4 linked regions of the Caenorhabditis elegans genome follow. The protein of the gene in region 2 purifies or fractionates together with the protein of the main gene of each other region. This does not show direct contact. Each region holds a gene or a part of one and is shown on either strand. Other genes may lie near its edges.

Evidence for each region.
Region 1: the proteins of ndub-7 (region 2) and trap-4 fractionate together in Caenorhabditis elegans (co-fractionation; one large-scale study listed by BioGRID). This does not show direct contact.
Region 3: the proteins of ndub-7 (region 2) and C16A3.5 fractionate together in Caenorhabditis elegans (co-fractionation; one large-scale study listed by BioGRID). This does not show direct contact.
Region 4: the proteins of ndub-7 (region 2) and ndub-3 fractionate together in Caenorhabditis elegans (co-fractionation; one large-scale study listed by BioGRID). This does not show direct contact.

Annotation. Positions count from the first base shown.
Region 1 is NC_003281.10:11,918,582-11,922,728, reverse strand, and holds trap-4 (Translocon-associated protein subunit delta), read right to left. Parts: upstream 1,995-4,147; 5' UTR 1,989-1,994; coding exon 1,943-1,988; intron 1,809-1,942; coding exon 1,480-1,808; intron 1,428-1,479; coding exon 1,323-1,427; 3' UTR 1,142-1,322; downstream 1-1,141. Other genes in the region: Y56A3A.22 (DUF1279 domain-containing protein), read right to left, coding at 1-3, 568-1,032; ccf-1 (CCR4-NOT transcription complex subunit 7), read left to right, coding at 2,509-2,637, 2,685-2,969, 3,022-3,540; znf-593 (Zinc finger protein 593 homolog), read left to right, coding at 4,016-4,141.
Region 2 is NC_003279.8:7,579,642-7,583,742, reverse strand, and holds ndub-7 (NADH dehydrogenase [ubiquinone] 1 beta subcomplex subunit 7), read left to right. Parts: upstream 1-2,114; 5' UTR 2,115-2,119; coding exon 2,120-2,233; intron 2,234-2,315; coding exon 2,316-2,420; intron 2,421-2,525; coding exon 2,526-2,678; 3' UTR 2,679-2,799; downstream 2,800-4,101. Other genes in the region: mce-1 (Methylmalonyl-CoA epimerase, mitochondrial), read right to left, coding at 717-1,016, 1,360-1,485, 1,560-1,622; D2030.3 (Fanconi anemia group I protein), read left to right, coding at 2,912-2,974, 3,055-3,469, 3,537-3,772.
Region 3 is NC_003281.10:6,378,697-6,382,807, forward strand, and holds C16A3.5 (NADH dehydrogenase [ubiquinone] 1 beta subcomplex subunit 9), read left to right. Parts: upstream 1-2,075; 5' UTR 2,076-2,094; coding exon 2,095-2,145; intron 2,146-2,256; coding exon 2,257-2,697; 3' UTR 2,698-2,821; downstream 2,822-4,111. Other genes in the region: nfx-1 (Transcriptional repressor NF-X1 homolog), read left to right, coding at 1-313; C16A3.6 (Protein MAK16 homolog), read left to right, coding at 766-1,154, 1,207-1,329, 1,379-1,838; znf-622 (C2H2-type domain-containing protein), read left to right, coding at 2,950-3,132, 3,189-4,002, 4,075-4,111.
Region 4 is NC_003280.10:8,963,194-8,967,219, forward strand, and holds ndub-3 (NADH dehydrogenase [ubiquinone] 1 beta subcomplex subunit 3), read right to left. Parts: upstream 1,698-4,026; 5' UTR 1,697-1,697; coding exon 1,566-1,696; intron 1,514-1,565; coding exon 1,447-1,513; intron 1,264-1,446; coding exon 1,150-1,263; 3' UTR 1,049-1,149; downstream 1-1,048. Other genes in the region: sftd-3 (Vesicle transport protein), read right to left, coding at 690-788, 835-950; sec-62 (Translocation protein SEC62), read left to right, coding at 1,981-2,001, 2,067-2,190, 2,239-2,314, 2,366-2,478, 2,524-2,775, 2,860-2,979, 3,024-3,346, 3,396-3,461; szy-20 (SUZ domain-containing protein), read right to left, coding at 4,004-4,026.

The sequences.
Region 1 (4,147 bases), on a different chromosome or scaffold from region 2:
GATCTGAAAATTTAAATTTTTATTATTACACATACGCGAAAAAATACATTTTTTTGGAAAAAAAAATTATTTTTCTGGTTAAATTCTGCTAAAATTCGTAATTTTTTGGCAACATTTCCACGTCTTTTGTAGTATTACATATACAAAAATACTGTAATTGGTCTCGACACGATAACATTTTTTCTTCAATGTAAAAAAGATGTGCGCCTTTAAAGATTACTGTAGTTTTACTTGTTGTAATTTTCTTTGTTCTTCGTGAGAAATATTAAAAAATCGATGAAACTCCACAAAGTTTGAAACTACAGTACTCTTTAAAGGCGCACACCTTTTTAACATTGAAGAATTTCGCGTCTGTGTAATAACCAGGGCTTCCCTTTTTGTTCCTTTTTTCTTTAAAAAATTAGTTTTTTCAATAAAATTGATTTCTTTACAAAACATGGTTTTTGTCTAAAAAATCGTGCTTTTTATACAAAAAAATTGGGTTTCTTCCGAGAAAATCTGTGTTTTTTCCAAACAAATTGTTATTTAATTAAAGTTTTCGAAAAAACATCTGAAAATCCTCCGAACCTTGTACAAAATCAGCGAAACCACCACAACTCCGGCGGTTTCGGGCGTATTTTTGACCTTTTCAACGATAGCATCCGGCATATGAAGCCATTCGAGCAATGAAATCACATCAACTCCACTTTTAACCACCAAATACAATGCGATAAACCATGCTGTACACGATGCCGCGTGAGCCGGCACAGCGATATACCAATATCTTTTAAAATAATATTTCACTTTTGCGAACAACGTTTTCGGCGCTTCTTCCGCCTTCATTTGCTCGATTTTCGCCGTTTTTGCGAGTTTTTGCTCCTCAGACATTGTCATTCTGAACATTTTCCATTTTTGATCGTCTGGCTTCTTCGGAGTGGGCTCTTTCTCGTGGAGTTGTCGACTTGTGTGCAGGAATCGTGAGCTTGATGGGGTCTGGAATTGAGCACAACAGATGCTCCGCGAGCATCGGATTATGGATCGAGCCAAAAGCATTTTGCCTGAATGAAAATTTTGGCCTAAAGGGGGTCTTAAAATTATCTAAAGTAAGTTTCCCGGGGATTTACACTCTCAACTCTTTAAACTTTTTTTTACGTCAGTCTAGCAATTAAATTTCAATTTATGGCTATTTGGGGGCTACTGAACTTATAAATACACGAATGGGGTGGAAAAAGGGGCAAAAATCAATAAATTACATTTTGTATATATAAATAAAAACAAAAAGAACAAAAACCCAGCACGCAAACGTGCGTTGACCAGTAATTTGGGGATAAAAACAATGATATTTAGTGGACAAGTTCGGTCTTTTGACGAATGGCGTAGTAAAGGCCAATGACGACGATGATGACGGCGACAGTCTCGGAAGAGATTGGAGACTTCGTGGCGAGACCCTGCAAAAAATGATTTTTAAAGATAATTATGTGAAAATGATGCAATTCTCACCCCATGGCTTTGTTGAACGGTGAAGAGTGGCTTGGTGACAGGGTTCTTGGCGTATTGAGCGGCTCCCTCCTCGTCGAAAATGTTAATATTAAAGGTTTGAGCTCCGGCGTCCTTGTGCTCAAGAGTCCATGAGACTTGGAACTTGGCGGTCTCGTCGGAAATCGAGACTGGGATAAGGCGACCGTTTACTTCAGCAGTGTATTGGATATTCTTCGGGTTGTTGCTGCATTGAAGTGTGAACTCGGTGATGAAGGTGGTTTTGTAGTGGAAGAATCCGTCGGTAGTGGAGAATGACGAGGCCGAGTACTTTGGCGACTCGCACTTGGCGCCTGGAATATTTATTGTTTTATTTGTATTAAATGTTAACAATCTACGCTTAAAATTCGAAAAATCGAGCCTTATTTTTATACAAGCCACACATTTGAATAATTTGTGTGGGAATTTATTAATTTTTCCAACTTACAAAGAGCGGAAGCGACAAGGCAAAGGGCGACGGCGATCTTCAGCATTATTACCTGCAAAAAAGTAATTAAATTCGTGTTTTGAAGAATTATCTTGTAAAATGAGTAAAATAGGCATTCTATACGTATTTTACTCGAATTTGCATCATTTTAACGCACAAAATTCATGTTTTTAGGGTAAAAATCAAGAAAATAAGTGAAAAATTCATTAAAAACACATTTTAATTCACTAAAACGATGTTTTCTCGACAGTTTCACGTAAAACAAACTCACTTGGCAGCTAGCCAGTTTGCAGTTCTCTCCCGTTCGCTGCGAGACCCACACCGCTGGGAAACTCCATGCGCCTTTAATGCCGATCCAAAATCGATCGTTCAAGAACTTCTTTTGCGCTTCAAAACTTTTGCAAACTGACTTTTTCTCCCGTTTTTCTGCTTTAAAAGTTTGCGGAAAAATTATTTTATTTATTTTATAAGCTATTTTCGATTTCTGTCCCATAAATTCGTTTAAAAAAATCGAAAATAAAAGCGTTCACTCTAAAACGAAAATTCTAGTTCCAGATATCATAAAAATGGCTTCTAGTAGCAGTGGTGGAGCAGGTGGAGCAGGTGGAGCAAGTGGAGCACCAGAAGTCAAGATTCACAACGTATATATGTCAAACGTGGAGGAGGAATTCGCGAGGATTCGAGGATTCGTCGAGGTACAGCCGATCGTTTGAATATTTTTAAAAAATCGGTTTTTTTTCAGGATTATCCCTACGTGGCAATGGACACAGAATTTCCCGGAGTTGTGGCGACACCGTTGGGCACATTTCGAAGCAAGGAAGATTTCAATTATCAGCAAGTGTTCTGTAATGTGAATATGCTGAAATTAATACAAGTGGGCTTTGCAATGGTCAATGACAAAGGAGAGCTACCACCGACTGGCGATGTTTGGCAGTTCAATTTCAATTTCTCCTTCGCTGAAGACATGTTCTCGCATGAGAGTGTCGAAATGCTCCGGCAAGCCGGAATAGACTTCACATTGCTGCAGGTTTTTTTAATATTGATTTTCCAATATTTTAATAATAATTTCTTTCTTCCAGAACAATGGAATACCGACAGCAGTATTCGGAGAACTTTTGACGACGTCAGGCCTCATCACTGATCCACGGATCACATGGCTCACGTTCTCTTCCGGCTACGACTTTGGATATTTGTTGAAAAGCATCACACTTGGAGATCTGCCTAAGGAAGAGTCAACGTTCTTCATGTGCCACAAAACTCTCTTCCCAACCAGCTTCGACATCAAAATCCTGCTCCGAACTCCAAATTGCGCGTCTGCAAAGCTGAAAGGAGGACTTCAAGAGGTCGCCGATCAGCTGGACGTGAAACGACAAGGAGTTCGCCATCAAGCTGGATCCGACGCACTGCTGACCGCCGCCACGTTTTTCAAGATCAAAAAGCAGTTTTTCGGAGACAACTGGAACCAGATTGCTCCATTGATCTGTGGACATATGTTTGGTCTTGGATCTTCGCTTTCGCTGTTCCATAGCTCCGGATCAACTTCTCGACTAGGCGATGAGACACCACAAGGCCTAATCGGAGTTCCACAACAAGCCTGAACAGATCTCTTTCCCGTCATTTTTCATGTGTCTATTTCTTTTATTTTTTTCTTCCTTTTTCCACCAAAAACCGTCTACACTGTTATTGTAAATTAGCTGTCTGTTTCGTGCCCTTCCCCATCTCTCACCCAAGTTTTTTGTGTTTTCACGCGCCCTATAATTTGTCTTTGTTATTATATCTCCCTATACTTGATGACTATACGCTTAGTTGTTTATAGGTGATCATTACTCTGAAAGTTCGATCTTTTTTATTTGTAATTTTCAGCAGCAGTAGAAGCTGGGCGAGATCGGGCGCCCCGTGTATCTTTTTATTTTCATTTTCCCTCCCCTATGCCCAAAAAAATAAAAATTTTCGAAATCTACTCGCGGAAACTTTAAATTTTCAACTAAAATAAGGGTTTTTGAGCCTGAAATTATCTTTTTCAGCTGTTTTGTCTAGATTCAAAGCTTAACAAAAGTAGTATTTCAGCAAAAAATGCCGAGCGGTGGACAGAGGAAGCACACGATTTCGAACAAGACACGTAAACGTCCCGGAAAGGATTTGGATCAAATCCATGAGGATTTGAAGCCTGAAAAGGCCGCCAAGCTTCTCCAGCAAGAGGTTTTT
Region 2 (4,101 bases):
ACATCTTTGGATTGAAATTCTTTTCGTCTTATTTGGAAAAATATTTTTCTAAAAAAGAATTTCCCTCTTTCAAATAGGTGCGTAGTATATCCACTAGAATTTCAGGATTGACGGCTCAGGGACCATCTTATACTGATTATGTCATAGATGTAATTTTGTTTTTGATTTCTGATTATTGACATTCTTCGCTTAAGTCTGAAATTTCTAAGAGTGTAGTTCATACAGTTTTGATTTTCTTCTTTTTTTTCCAAATCCTAATCCACTGTAACTTTTCTGAAAATAGGTTTTTTTCATATTACCCATAAATTTTACATTCTTTTCTGATATGTTTTTTCGTAGTTTTTCGCTTTAAAATTCAAATTATATTTTTGAAAACATGTAAACGAATTTATATTTTGAAAATTTAATGAAACAATTTATTGAAGTTGTAGGCAATTATTATGGCACAAGAAACAATAAAACATGTGAACAGATTAAAACGTATCAAAAATTAATCTCTATGCAAAATACTGGGTGCTAAAAGAAAGGTTTATAGTTTTTTTTTTTGTAATTTATATCATATTATCGATTTTTCAAAAGTTATAGGCTGCCAATAAAAAATTTTGAGAGAACTTTTGCGAAATTTAAAATTTGTGAAGTTTCTCACAAAAAAGTGAAGATCAAAACTTTGTCAAACAGATAATATGATTGCTAGATTTTGGGAACAAAGAATCAAATTATTCCTGCTCGAGTTCAATAAGTACACCTCCACAATCCTTTGGATGCAAGAACATTACTTCTTTTCCATGAGCTCCAATTTTTGGTTTCTCACCCAAAGTACGAATTCCTTTTGTTTTAACAGCAGAAACAGCTTCATGAATATCACGAACTTCAATACAAATATGATGCATTCCACCGTCCTTATTCTTATTCAAAAAAGCTTGAATTGGAGATTTCTCGCCGAATGGATGAAGAAGCTCGATTTTTGAGTTTGGAAGCTCAACGAAGACAGTGTAGACTCCATGTTCTGGTTGTGGCTGTAATTATTCAATTCAAAAATTTTAATATAAACTAGATGAGACATTTTATTTTTTATTTGCGGATTTTTATCATTTTTATGAAAAAACTTGTAATTAAATAAATATTTTTCAAGTAAGTTTACTGTAGTACACAAAATTCGCTTCATTCGCATTTTATTTCATTTTTCAGTTGTAGGGGTTTTTCCAAAATTTTTCGTTTTTTGTTATGCTATTTCAAAATTTTAGGCTATTCAATTTTTATTTTGATTTATGCTACAAAGAATTTAACAAAAATATTTTCTACATATTTTTGCTCTAAATTTTTATTGACATTAGGAAGAAACAAAAATTAAAGACTAACCACAGCCTCGCTAACTTTTGCTCCGAGGCCCTTGTAGAATTCCGATGATTTCTTGAGATCTGGTGTGGCAATGGCGACGTGGTTCAACTTTCCGAGAAGTCCTGCCAATGGATGGGAAGCCATGGTCTGAAAAGTCAAAATTTTTAAAGTAAAAAAGCGATTATCTAATAGTTTTCATCAGAAAAAATAGAAAAACCTACTCTTGTGGACAGCGAAAGCTTAGCAGAATTGACAAGGGCGAGTGTAGAACGGAAGGATGCCATTTTCAAAAGAAGAATCTATAAACATGGTTACTGTACTTTAATAAAATTTATAAAACTCGAAAAATGCTAAGTAATAAGCGTTTAAATGATTGAAACATCTGTGAGAAAATGAAAAGTAACAGAAACAAACAAAAGTTTAGATAAGAAAATGTTTTTGACATTGAAAATTCGGTCAATGAACCCGCTGTAAACTTGCTTTTTGCACGCACTCACTTTGATTACAACGACACTCCGATATTACACAAGTGCTTGTTGTTTATCTTATTTTATTTCGGGCAATTTTTGTGCCAATTTTCAGCTTTACTTTGTTTTTAACGTTTTAGAAGAATATTTTCCGGAAAAATATGTTAAATTATTAAAATATAAATTGTTCACTTCTTATCAGCAAAGCATTCGCTGCCCTAAGCATGCTAATTATTTATTTTGAGTTGATTCAAATATCAGAAGAGTTTTGATGCTTTCTTTATTTTGTACCAATTCCTTTTTTTTCAGCCAAGATGGGAACTAAACTGTCCGTCTCATTGGAAGGAGCCAGTACACCAGAAACCGCGCCACGTGTCGACAGACCACCAACTTTCGATCCTCAGTATGGATTCGAGCGACCGAGAAAGGTAAACAACTTTTTTAAAAGTTCATTAAATAACTGTTCATTTAATTCATAAATATTCAATATAATAAAGTTTAATATTCAAGGTCCGCGAGATGAAGGCTACTTGGGAAGAGATGGAGCAGTGGAAGTTGAAGCCAGCTCAACGCGATTATTGTGCTCACCACTTGATTTCACTCATGAAATGCCAAGTAAGATTTTTGTTTTAGTTACAATGATATATTTTTAAAATTATATAAAAATACACATCTAAAATTATTTTCTCAAAAACAGCAAAAATAATTTATTATATTCAGACCCAAAATGCACCATTTGCCGGACACGCGTGCGACGGAGAACGTGGAGCTTGGGATAAATGTGAATATGATGATCATATCATGAGAATCAAAGAATTCGAACGTGAACGACGATTGCTTCAAAGACAGGCTCGCAAAGAAGCCACTGCTTGAATAGATGTCGATGAGATATTTCTTTAAATGATTTTTGATAATAGTATAGTTTTTTGTGAATACTATGTGTCTTTTGTTTCGTTTCTTTTTCTCTCGATTTCGGATAAATATTGAGTCGTACACTTTTTTTTAATGTTGAAAATTTTTTTGTTGTTCGTATCATTTGTAATATATCTATGCTATAATGATTCCGATTAGTTTTCCATATTATAATTTAAAAACACCTTTCAGAGATGACCGAAATCCGAAAAGTCGTCCAAGAAACAATGGTTGGAAAACCAGAAGACGAAATTCAGGTTAGAAATTGTCAAATTTTTTTGAATTATCTAAAAACCTACATATTCTGTCATGGATCCATTCATCAAATAAGTTTCAGACTTTCGAAAAATGTCTCCGTCTCGTTGGATCCAATCGAACACGTAAAGAACAAGAACTAGGATTTTGTCTTATGTCGAGAATGATCATCAAATGTTCTTCACAAACTCTACGAGCAGTTCAATCGCGATTGGCTAATCGACTTGCTCATATCTCGGATCATTTTCAATTATGTGGATCACTTTATACTCGAGAACTTCTTGTTAGAAATCCGCAAGCTGGAGAACTTCATTCTCCAATTGTATTCAAGATTATTCTTAATTGCATGGATGCTGCTGCACAAACAAGTGATCCCAATATTCGTGGATTGGCTGCTGAACTGTTTGGATTGAGAATTAGCAATCAGAATCTAACAATGTTGTTGAATACGCTTGAAGTTTTGTTGAGTGCAACCAAGATTAAAAATGTATCAAATGGTTAGTAATTTTATCAACAAAAAAAAGTACAACTCTATTGGCACGTAAAATCTGAATTTATTTTCAGATCTCCTTCAGCTTAGAACATTGGGAGTGTCTTCTCATCGAGATTCGCTGACTTCTCTTCTTTTTGAAGTTCTCGCACTTTCACTCGGATACGCTTCAAAGCCGGGATTATTTGTAGAACGAAAAGATATAATTCAAGTTATTGAATTGGGAATTAATAATCCGAAAAATCGATCTGTTGCATTTGCATGTCTCCGTTCAATGTGTGTAAACACGAAGTATTCACTTATTCCAATGGTAAGCTTTAAAAATGTATTTTCAGATAAAAAAAATAGTACCCGGCCTCGACGCGCCTTTTTGTTAAATACAAATGGGTGTGCGCCTTTAAGAGTACTGTAATTTCAATATTTCGTTGATGCGAAATTTTTACTGATTTTTCATAGTTTTTTCATTCAAAGTTTTTTTTTGTGAAATGAAACTACTAAAAACATCAATTCTACAAATTGTGAGAAAAACTATGAAAACTCCGCAGCAACCAAAGTTTGAAATTACAGTACTCTTGAAGGCGCACACCCGTTTGTGTTTTAAAAACTTTGTCGTTTCGAGACCGGCCATATTTTTGGAGA
Region 3 (4,111 bases), on a different chromosome or scaffold from region 2:
ATTTGCTCTTTTGGGGAGCGATGTCGATTCGGACGATGAAGAAAGTAACGTTCCGACAACAAGTAATTTAGTATCTTCACCTCCAAAAGATTGGTGGAAAGACGAGGAAGAAGGGTGGCAAAAAGTGCAACAAAAAGAGTATGTTGTTGAAGTCGAACGCGATATGACCGAAGATGAGATTGAGGCGGCGAAAAAACTGGATGAAGGTCCCACATGGGAAGATCAATGTGACGAAGATGCACCAGCAACAGAAACCAGTTCAGCTATTGAATCTCCAGCGAAAGAGGAGCCGGTTGCTGAATTACTAGAATAAAACGTATTAGATTTTTTACATGCACTATCACATCAATTTTCGATGTTACTATTCATATCCTCAATTGTACGGTGTAACAGTTTGTTTCAAGTACATTTCCATTGTTTTGAATACTTTAAAATACGGTTTGCTTGTTTTAACTAATGAATAAATATTCTCTGGTGTTTATATTATTTTAATTGCGTTCCTGTGGCCCAGTTATTTCCTGTGAAAATATTTGTTTGAGACTTTAAATTTTAATTGAAAGATGAAAATAGAGAGAAGGCGCCTTAAGGCACGCGGGACTGACAAAGTGTGCAAACACCGCCACGCGAAGACGCACACTTTCGGTTCTTTCACAATTTTTTTGCCCGTTCTTCTCAATCAATTCTTGCTTCTTTTTCCTTTTATCGAAGTAATTCTCGTGTGAAAAACAACTCAAAAAATTCGAATTTTTCAGAAACTGGGTAAAAATGCAGTGCGACGATGTGACTTGGAACATTCTCAACAAGGGACAATGCGCCTACAAAGCGTGGACAAAGCCAAAAATGTTCTGTAAAAATGAAATGAATTTGACTGGTTTGTGCAACAGAGCTTCGTGTCCATTGGCTAACTCACAGTATGCAACAGTTCGTGAGGAGAACGGAGTATGTTACTTGTACGCAAAAGTTGTCGAACGATCTCACTATCCACGTCGTTTATGGGAAAAGACAAAGTTGTCAAAGGATATGAACAAAGCATTGGAACAAATCAGTGATCAACTTCTTCATTGGAGTGAATATGTTAGACACAAGTGCAAAGCTCGTCTCATCCGAATTCATCAATATTTGATCAGAATGCGTAAAATGGCAGTCCGTGGAAAGTAAGTTTAAACTTATAGAAACTGAATTTTGCATAGTATTATTTATTTTCAGCCAGAAGAAACTCATTCCAATTGGACGGAAAGTGGAAAGACGTGAGAAACGTCGTGAAGAGAAGGCACTTGTTGCAGCTAAACTTGATCACGCTATTGAGAAAGAGCTCTTAGCCAGACTTAAGTGAGTTGATATATTAGAAAGTGCACATTTTGAATGAAACAACTTTTAGACAAGGAACATATGGCGATGTTTACAACTTCCGTCAAGAGGCATTCGAACAAATGCTGGAAAACACTGAAAAAGAGTTGGAAGTGGAGCAAGAACTCGAGCAGGACGACGCAGACACGGGTGAGACTCAGTTCGTCGCTGACTTTGATAGTTCCGACGATGAGGATCAGGACATGGAAGACGGAGGTGATGGACATTGGTCACCAGGAGATACTGACAGTGAGAACGAGGATAATTGGCAGCCAGAACAAGAACAAGAGGATTCGGATGAAGATGATGAGGAAGGAGGTGATGAGCCAATGGAAATTGAGGAGCCACCAAAGAAGAAGGTAAAGAAGGAGCCGAAGAAAAAGACTGGGAAGAAAGCTGCTGATGGAAAGAAGAAGAAGCTCAAGAAACGAGCTCATGTTGAGATTGAATACGAAGAAGAAACGGAGCCACGACAAAGGGTCAAGGCATAAAACTTCGCATTCCATTTTGTCTGTTATCGTTATTTTTGTTCTTTTCTTTTATTCGCCCTCTTCCAATTGTGTTGTTGTTATTTGCTTTTTAATTTTTAACTCTTTTACCCAAAAATTCAAATGAAAATTGTTACTTTTCCTTGTTTACTAAAAATTAAACTGATTGGTTTTTTTTCCAATTTTATTTTATTGTTCCAATCACATATTTTTGTACTCTATAAAACCCATTGTTTTCAGAGAAGACCGGGAGGAAGCCATGGATTCGCCGGCGTGGATGTTCACGAAGGCGCTGAGCCATAGACAGAAGGTAATTTTTATTTTTGAAAAGCTTTAGTCGTTTGTGAAATTGGTAGCGTTGTTTTTTAATCTGATTGGAGATTTCGTCTGTTTAAAATGTAGCGAATTATTGCATTTTCAGGTCACCCGCCTCTACAAACGCTGTCTTCGCGAAGTTGACAACTGGTATGGAGGAAACAATCTGGAAGTTCGCTTCCAAAAGTGTATTATCCGTGCTCGATTCGACGCTAACGCTGATGAGGTTGACACCCGTAAGAGCCAGATCCTTCTTGCCGACGGATGCCGTCAATTGTGGGAGAAACGTCATTTCAAGCCTTTCCGTTTTGCTCTCGATCCAGGAGGTTCCAGTTATGATCGTGAACGCGAGTCGCCGGATGAGATTGTCGATTCGGATCAATGGACATTGGCTGAACGTGAACAGTTCCCCTACTACTTCAATACTCGTGAGCAGAGAAAGAAGGAGTTGCTGACTCACTGGGCCAAAATCGAAAAAGCTTGGGATGAGGAGATCGCGTCAATTCAAACCCAACTACCAGCTGCTGCCCCAACTGTTTCCAAATAGGCCACTATGAGGAAGTAATGCGATTGATTTTAAGTAGAACGAGCTCACTCGTAGACCGAATAATTTTGTTTTGTTTTTTATGAATTTAACGTCACTGAACAAATAAATATAGCTGTATTTTCATTGTATATTATCATTTATTATTCATCTGTTTAAATGGTTATTGCTGACCATTTGCATATTTTTTCCAATTTATTTAAATTTCTTCTTGTAAGCTTTAAATTAAACATTTTATTACAGAGATCTATCAGAATGGATGGATCTACAGGGTTCACATGTGTAACATGCCGTGTCGTCTTCGAGACAGCCGAGCTGCAGAGAGATCATTACAAAACCGAATGGCATCGGTACAATCTGAAAAGACAAGCTGCTGAGCTTCCAGCTATAGGAATTGAGCTTTTCAATGAGAAAGCTGCATCGTTCAACCCAACAAAGGTAGGGGAAAAGTTTTCTAATGTTCGCTTAATACTTACTCATTATCAATTTTTCAGCCAGTCGTTGCTGCTTCAGTTGAACCATTGTACTGCAAGGCTTGTCGGAAATCAATCAAATCGGAGAATGCAATGACTGATCACGTAGCTAGCAAAAAGCACAAGGAAAATGAGAAGAAGATTGAGGATGATGTGAAGAAAGGTCCAAAGCAACCAAGAAAGAAGCCAGAGAATTTGCCAAAGAAACCTGAGTCACTAAAGGAACCTGAAAATGATGAAGATGATGACTCGAGTGGATGGGAAACTGACGATGAGGAGGAAGGTGTGGAGGAACTAAATGAGGATGATGCTCTTCCAGTCACATCTTGTCTGTTTTGTCCACAGACAAAGCCTAATATGGATGAAATGCGTACTCATATGAACTTCCATCATGGATTCCAACTTCCAGACAGGCAATACTTGAGCGATGAACTTGGATGCTTAAGCTACTTGGGACTTAAAGTTGGAGCTGGTCGTTGCTGTATCTTCTGCCCAGACGTTAAAGCCAGATACGAATCAGTTCAGAGTTGTCAGCAGCACATGCGAGATAAGCAGCACTGCAAACTCCGCAGAGATCCTGAAAGCATGATTGAGCTCGACGACTACTATGATTACAGTCCGATGTATGATGGAGATGATCAAGATAAGTCAGAACTGTTTGATGATGGATGGTCGCTTACTCTCCCTTCTGGAGCTAAAATTGGACACCGTAACCTTCATCGATATTTCAAACAATACCTTCGCCCAGTTGATGGTACACAGAGACTTGTTTCAAGAGCAGCACTCGATAAAGCAAAGGGATTCTATCCAGCTCTCGCTTGGACTGGAACTACGAGTAAGTTTTATTAGAATTCTATGACATCAAATAGTAGAAATAAAAAGAAATGTAACAAAAATAATATTTCAGCTGTCGCGGCCAAGAAGGTTGCTCGAGACATGAAGTT
Region 4 (4,026 bases), on a different chromosome or scaffold from region 2:
TTTGACTGTAAATTTTAAAGATATCCTTTTTTGAAATGCAATGATATTTTGTCGTTTTAACACAAAAAGAGTGATAATATTTCCCGGGCTTGCAATTTTGCGCAAAGAATACGGTGTCCGGTCTCGACACAACTAATTTAATTAAATTCAAATAGGTGCGCGCCTTTAAAGAGTACTGTAATTTCAAACTTTCGTTAATGTGAAATTTTCGTCGATTTTTTATAGCTTATTCATATTTTAATTTTTTAAATAAGTATATTTTTACCGAAAAACTATGTAAAGTCGATGAAAATTCAGCGGCAACGAAATTTTTAAACTACAGTACTTTTTAAAGGCTCACATCTATTTTTGTTTTCCAAAAAAACGGCGTGTCGATACCGGCTACCGTATTTTTGTCGCGAAAATCGTAAAATTTCGCTGATAAGTGAACATAGCTTTTGGAAATATTTTTAAAACTTTTTTCGAACTGCCAAAAAAGCGTTGAAAGTTTTTGAGTAATCTTATTATGAAATTTAAGTAATTCAAAACCATTTTGAGTCTATTAAAACGAAAACAATTTTATCCGTTTCTCATCAGTTAAAAATTGAAATATATAATATTTAATTGATATTTGCCTACTTAGGAGTATTTAATTCAAAGAAATCAAGATTTTCAGTTTATTTTTTTTTGTTTTTCTGAACAAAACATACCGATTTCTGGAAGCTGGCAATTGTCCATCTCCAGAATCATCTCCAACTAATAACTGCTGACTATCGGTTGTTTCGCTTCGGGAAAGTAGGGAAAATCCTCTGAAACTTCAAACTTTATACATTTCTTCTAAGTGAAATTTGTTACCCAATAGACGTTGGAAGCTTGTTGCGAAGTGAATCAAATGAAGAAAATGAAGCTGAACTGCTGATACCACTTCCTTTCTTCTTCTGATCATTTATGAACTGCTCTAGAGCAGACATGCCCTTTAAATTGTTGTTGTAAAACATTTATTGACATCGTTATCATAGAAACCTTTCTGGCAGAATACCAATTTTCAACGAGGGTGAATTGCGATTTTAAAAATGAATGATTTATTGGAGTTTAAGAAACTACATACACAAAAAGAAAACTTTTAAACTAAAAAAAAAGAAATCGGCTCGAGATTTGAAACAGATAATTCTAATGATGACCATCCCATGAGGTGGTTCCGTGAGTCTTGTATTGGTAAGCTTCTTCAACGAAAATCAAGGCAGCTGTGAATGCAACTCCAGCTTTCCATCCAGGAAGAATCAACTGAAATTTATTAAATAATTTTAAAAAATTCCCTAAATACATTAATATAATTTTTGGAAAATCGGCTTGCTCGGAAATTTTCCAAACAAGAGCACATTTATAGGATACAATCCATAAAAATTTTTTAATATTATGTTGGTATTATATTAATAATATTTAATTCATCTCGAAGAAAACACGAACCTTCTTGAAATGAGCCCATTGTCCAACAACGTGTGGATACTTTCGATCGTACAAGTAGACGTAGTTTCTGAAAGAAAAATCAATAATATATTTATTAATATTATCGATAAAAAACCGACCTGATCCATGGATCCTTCAATCCGATTTGAGCGAGTCGTTTTTCATGCTGCGCCAACTGTGGAAAATCGCGAAAATTGCTGTAGATTGAGTAGTTTGGGATCTTAAACGGCTCGTGATGTCCTCCACCCATTCTGGAATTAAAATAATTGAAAAAAAATGTTTTAGAAACCTGTATTATGAAAATAAATGAAGAGAACGATAAAATCAGAAAGAAATGCCAGCCGAGTTTGTGTAGATTTACGCGGTGTGTAAGCGTGCGGCAGTTGCGTTTTCCGTCAGAGCGCAACTGCGGCACACTTTTCTCAATCAATTGTCAGGAGATTTTGGCTTGTTCCAACGCACCACTTTTGTTTTGGCTGTATTTTCAGATTCTCAACATTTTTTCTGCTTTTTTAATAAAGGAAAACTTTAACCATGTCGAAACGTAATCAAAAAGTGAGTTTTTATTCGGAAAAATCAATATTAACTAGAAAAGAACGATGTTTTAATTCAAATTTCAGGGCGTATCTACGGAAGATGCCGTAAAAATGACGAAGGAGCAAGAAGACATTGCCAAATACATCAGATTCAATTGTCCGACAGCCACGACCATGTTTGAAGGAAACGAAGTTCATTATTTCAGTGGTATGTACAAATTTCAATTGTTTATATTAATATCGCATATATTTTCAGGAAATAAAGCTGTCGATACTCTTTGGGAATCCAAGTACGGAAATAAAGCAAAGAAAGATGCAATGTTTAAAACAAGGTGGGCATTCTGTAGAAATTACGTAAATTTAAATAGATTCTAAATTTTCAGAGATGATTGCTTCCATTATATTTGCGAACTCAACTCGAAACAATTATTCTTCCGTGCAAAAAAATTAGTAGCAAAGAAAAAAGAGAATAAAGATAAAGGAAACGATTCTTCTGGTAATCATAAAACTTAAAAAATATCTTAAAACACGTTTTTTTCAGCTGAAGTTACCAAATCTCCAAAAGGTGTAGTTGAAAAGAGAAATAAAAAAGCCAAAGAAGAAGAAACAGCAACCGAAGCTGAAGGTGATGAGAAAGAAGTGAAAAAAGACGAAAAGAAAGACGAAGAAAAAAAGAAAAAGAAGGTGAAGCTTCTTGTACATGAAGTTCAAGCATTCGTCGATGACAAAGATGTCTACGTTTGGGTATTCGATCCAACTCCTCTCATGAAAAAGATTATTGGAGTACTTATGCGTAAGTTTTCCCTTTTTGATTTGTTATTTCCTGCTTTAGAAATGATTCAATGTGTAAAATTAAAATCCAATTAATATATTTCAGTCGTCGGTACAATTGTCGGATGCTTGTTCCCTCTATGGCCTGTATGGCTTCGCCAAGGAGTTTATTACGTATCAATTACTGGAATTGGATGTTTTGCAGCTATCATTGTCACTGCTATACGTGAGTTGTTTCAACAATAATATTCATTTTTCGATTATTTTCAGTCCGTACTATTCTTTTCGGAATTATCTACGCTGTTACTTTCGGAAAACACAAACTCTGGGTTCTGCCGAACTTGACTGAAGACTGTGGAGTTCTTGAATCATTCCAACCATGGTATACTTATGAGTATGTTGGTGATGAGAAGAAAGAAGCTAAGAAAGATAAGAAAGATAAAAAGTCGAAAAAAGAAAAGGATTCTGATGCAGAAGAGGAGGAGCAAGACCACATTGCTGCTGAACAGGAGCAAAAAGAGGAAGAAGACGATGATGCTGAAAAAAATAGTCAGGCATCAACTGATGATAATTATGAAAAAATTGAAGACGAGGTAATCTGATAAGTGTTTCAATTTAAATAATTATAATTTTGAAATTTAGGAAATCTCTGCTCCACCATCACCAAGTGACGATGCTCCTCGAAAACGTCGTCCAGCTAAAGTCTAGAAATTTAGTTTATCCTGAAATTTTTCCATTCCACATTTCTGCATTTATGAAAACTTGTCCTGAAAATCTATTGCATTACCCTCATCCTGTCGGTTTCGTCACATTTTAAATACTATTTTTCGTCCCATTCTTCCATACTGTGATTACCCTCTTGGCTAGTTTCTTCTTTCTCAGTCACTCTTCATTGTTCTTGCATAACTAAAATCTGAATGTTTCCGTTTCGGTCCACTATTGGACATATAATAAATTGGTCTATACAAAAGTCAAACAAGATAATTTCTTCATCAAACTTGGCTCATATAACAATAGAAAATTGAATAACTTGAAACATGCCAAAATGAATGTAGAAAATAATGATATAAATATGTGGAGATGGGGGGAGAAAGAGGAAGTACGACCCGTGTTGATTAACACAATTCCGAATCGGACTGATGGAACAAGAAAAGGGAGATAAATGTGAAAAGATGACCATCACAGCACATCAAAAAGACGTGGTTAAAGCATGAATTGTCTATAGAGTGTTCGTAGAATGGAATAACAAACTATTGAGGCCGATTCTGCTGCA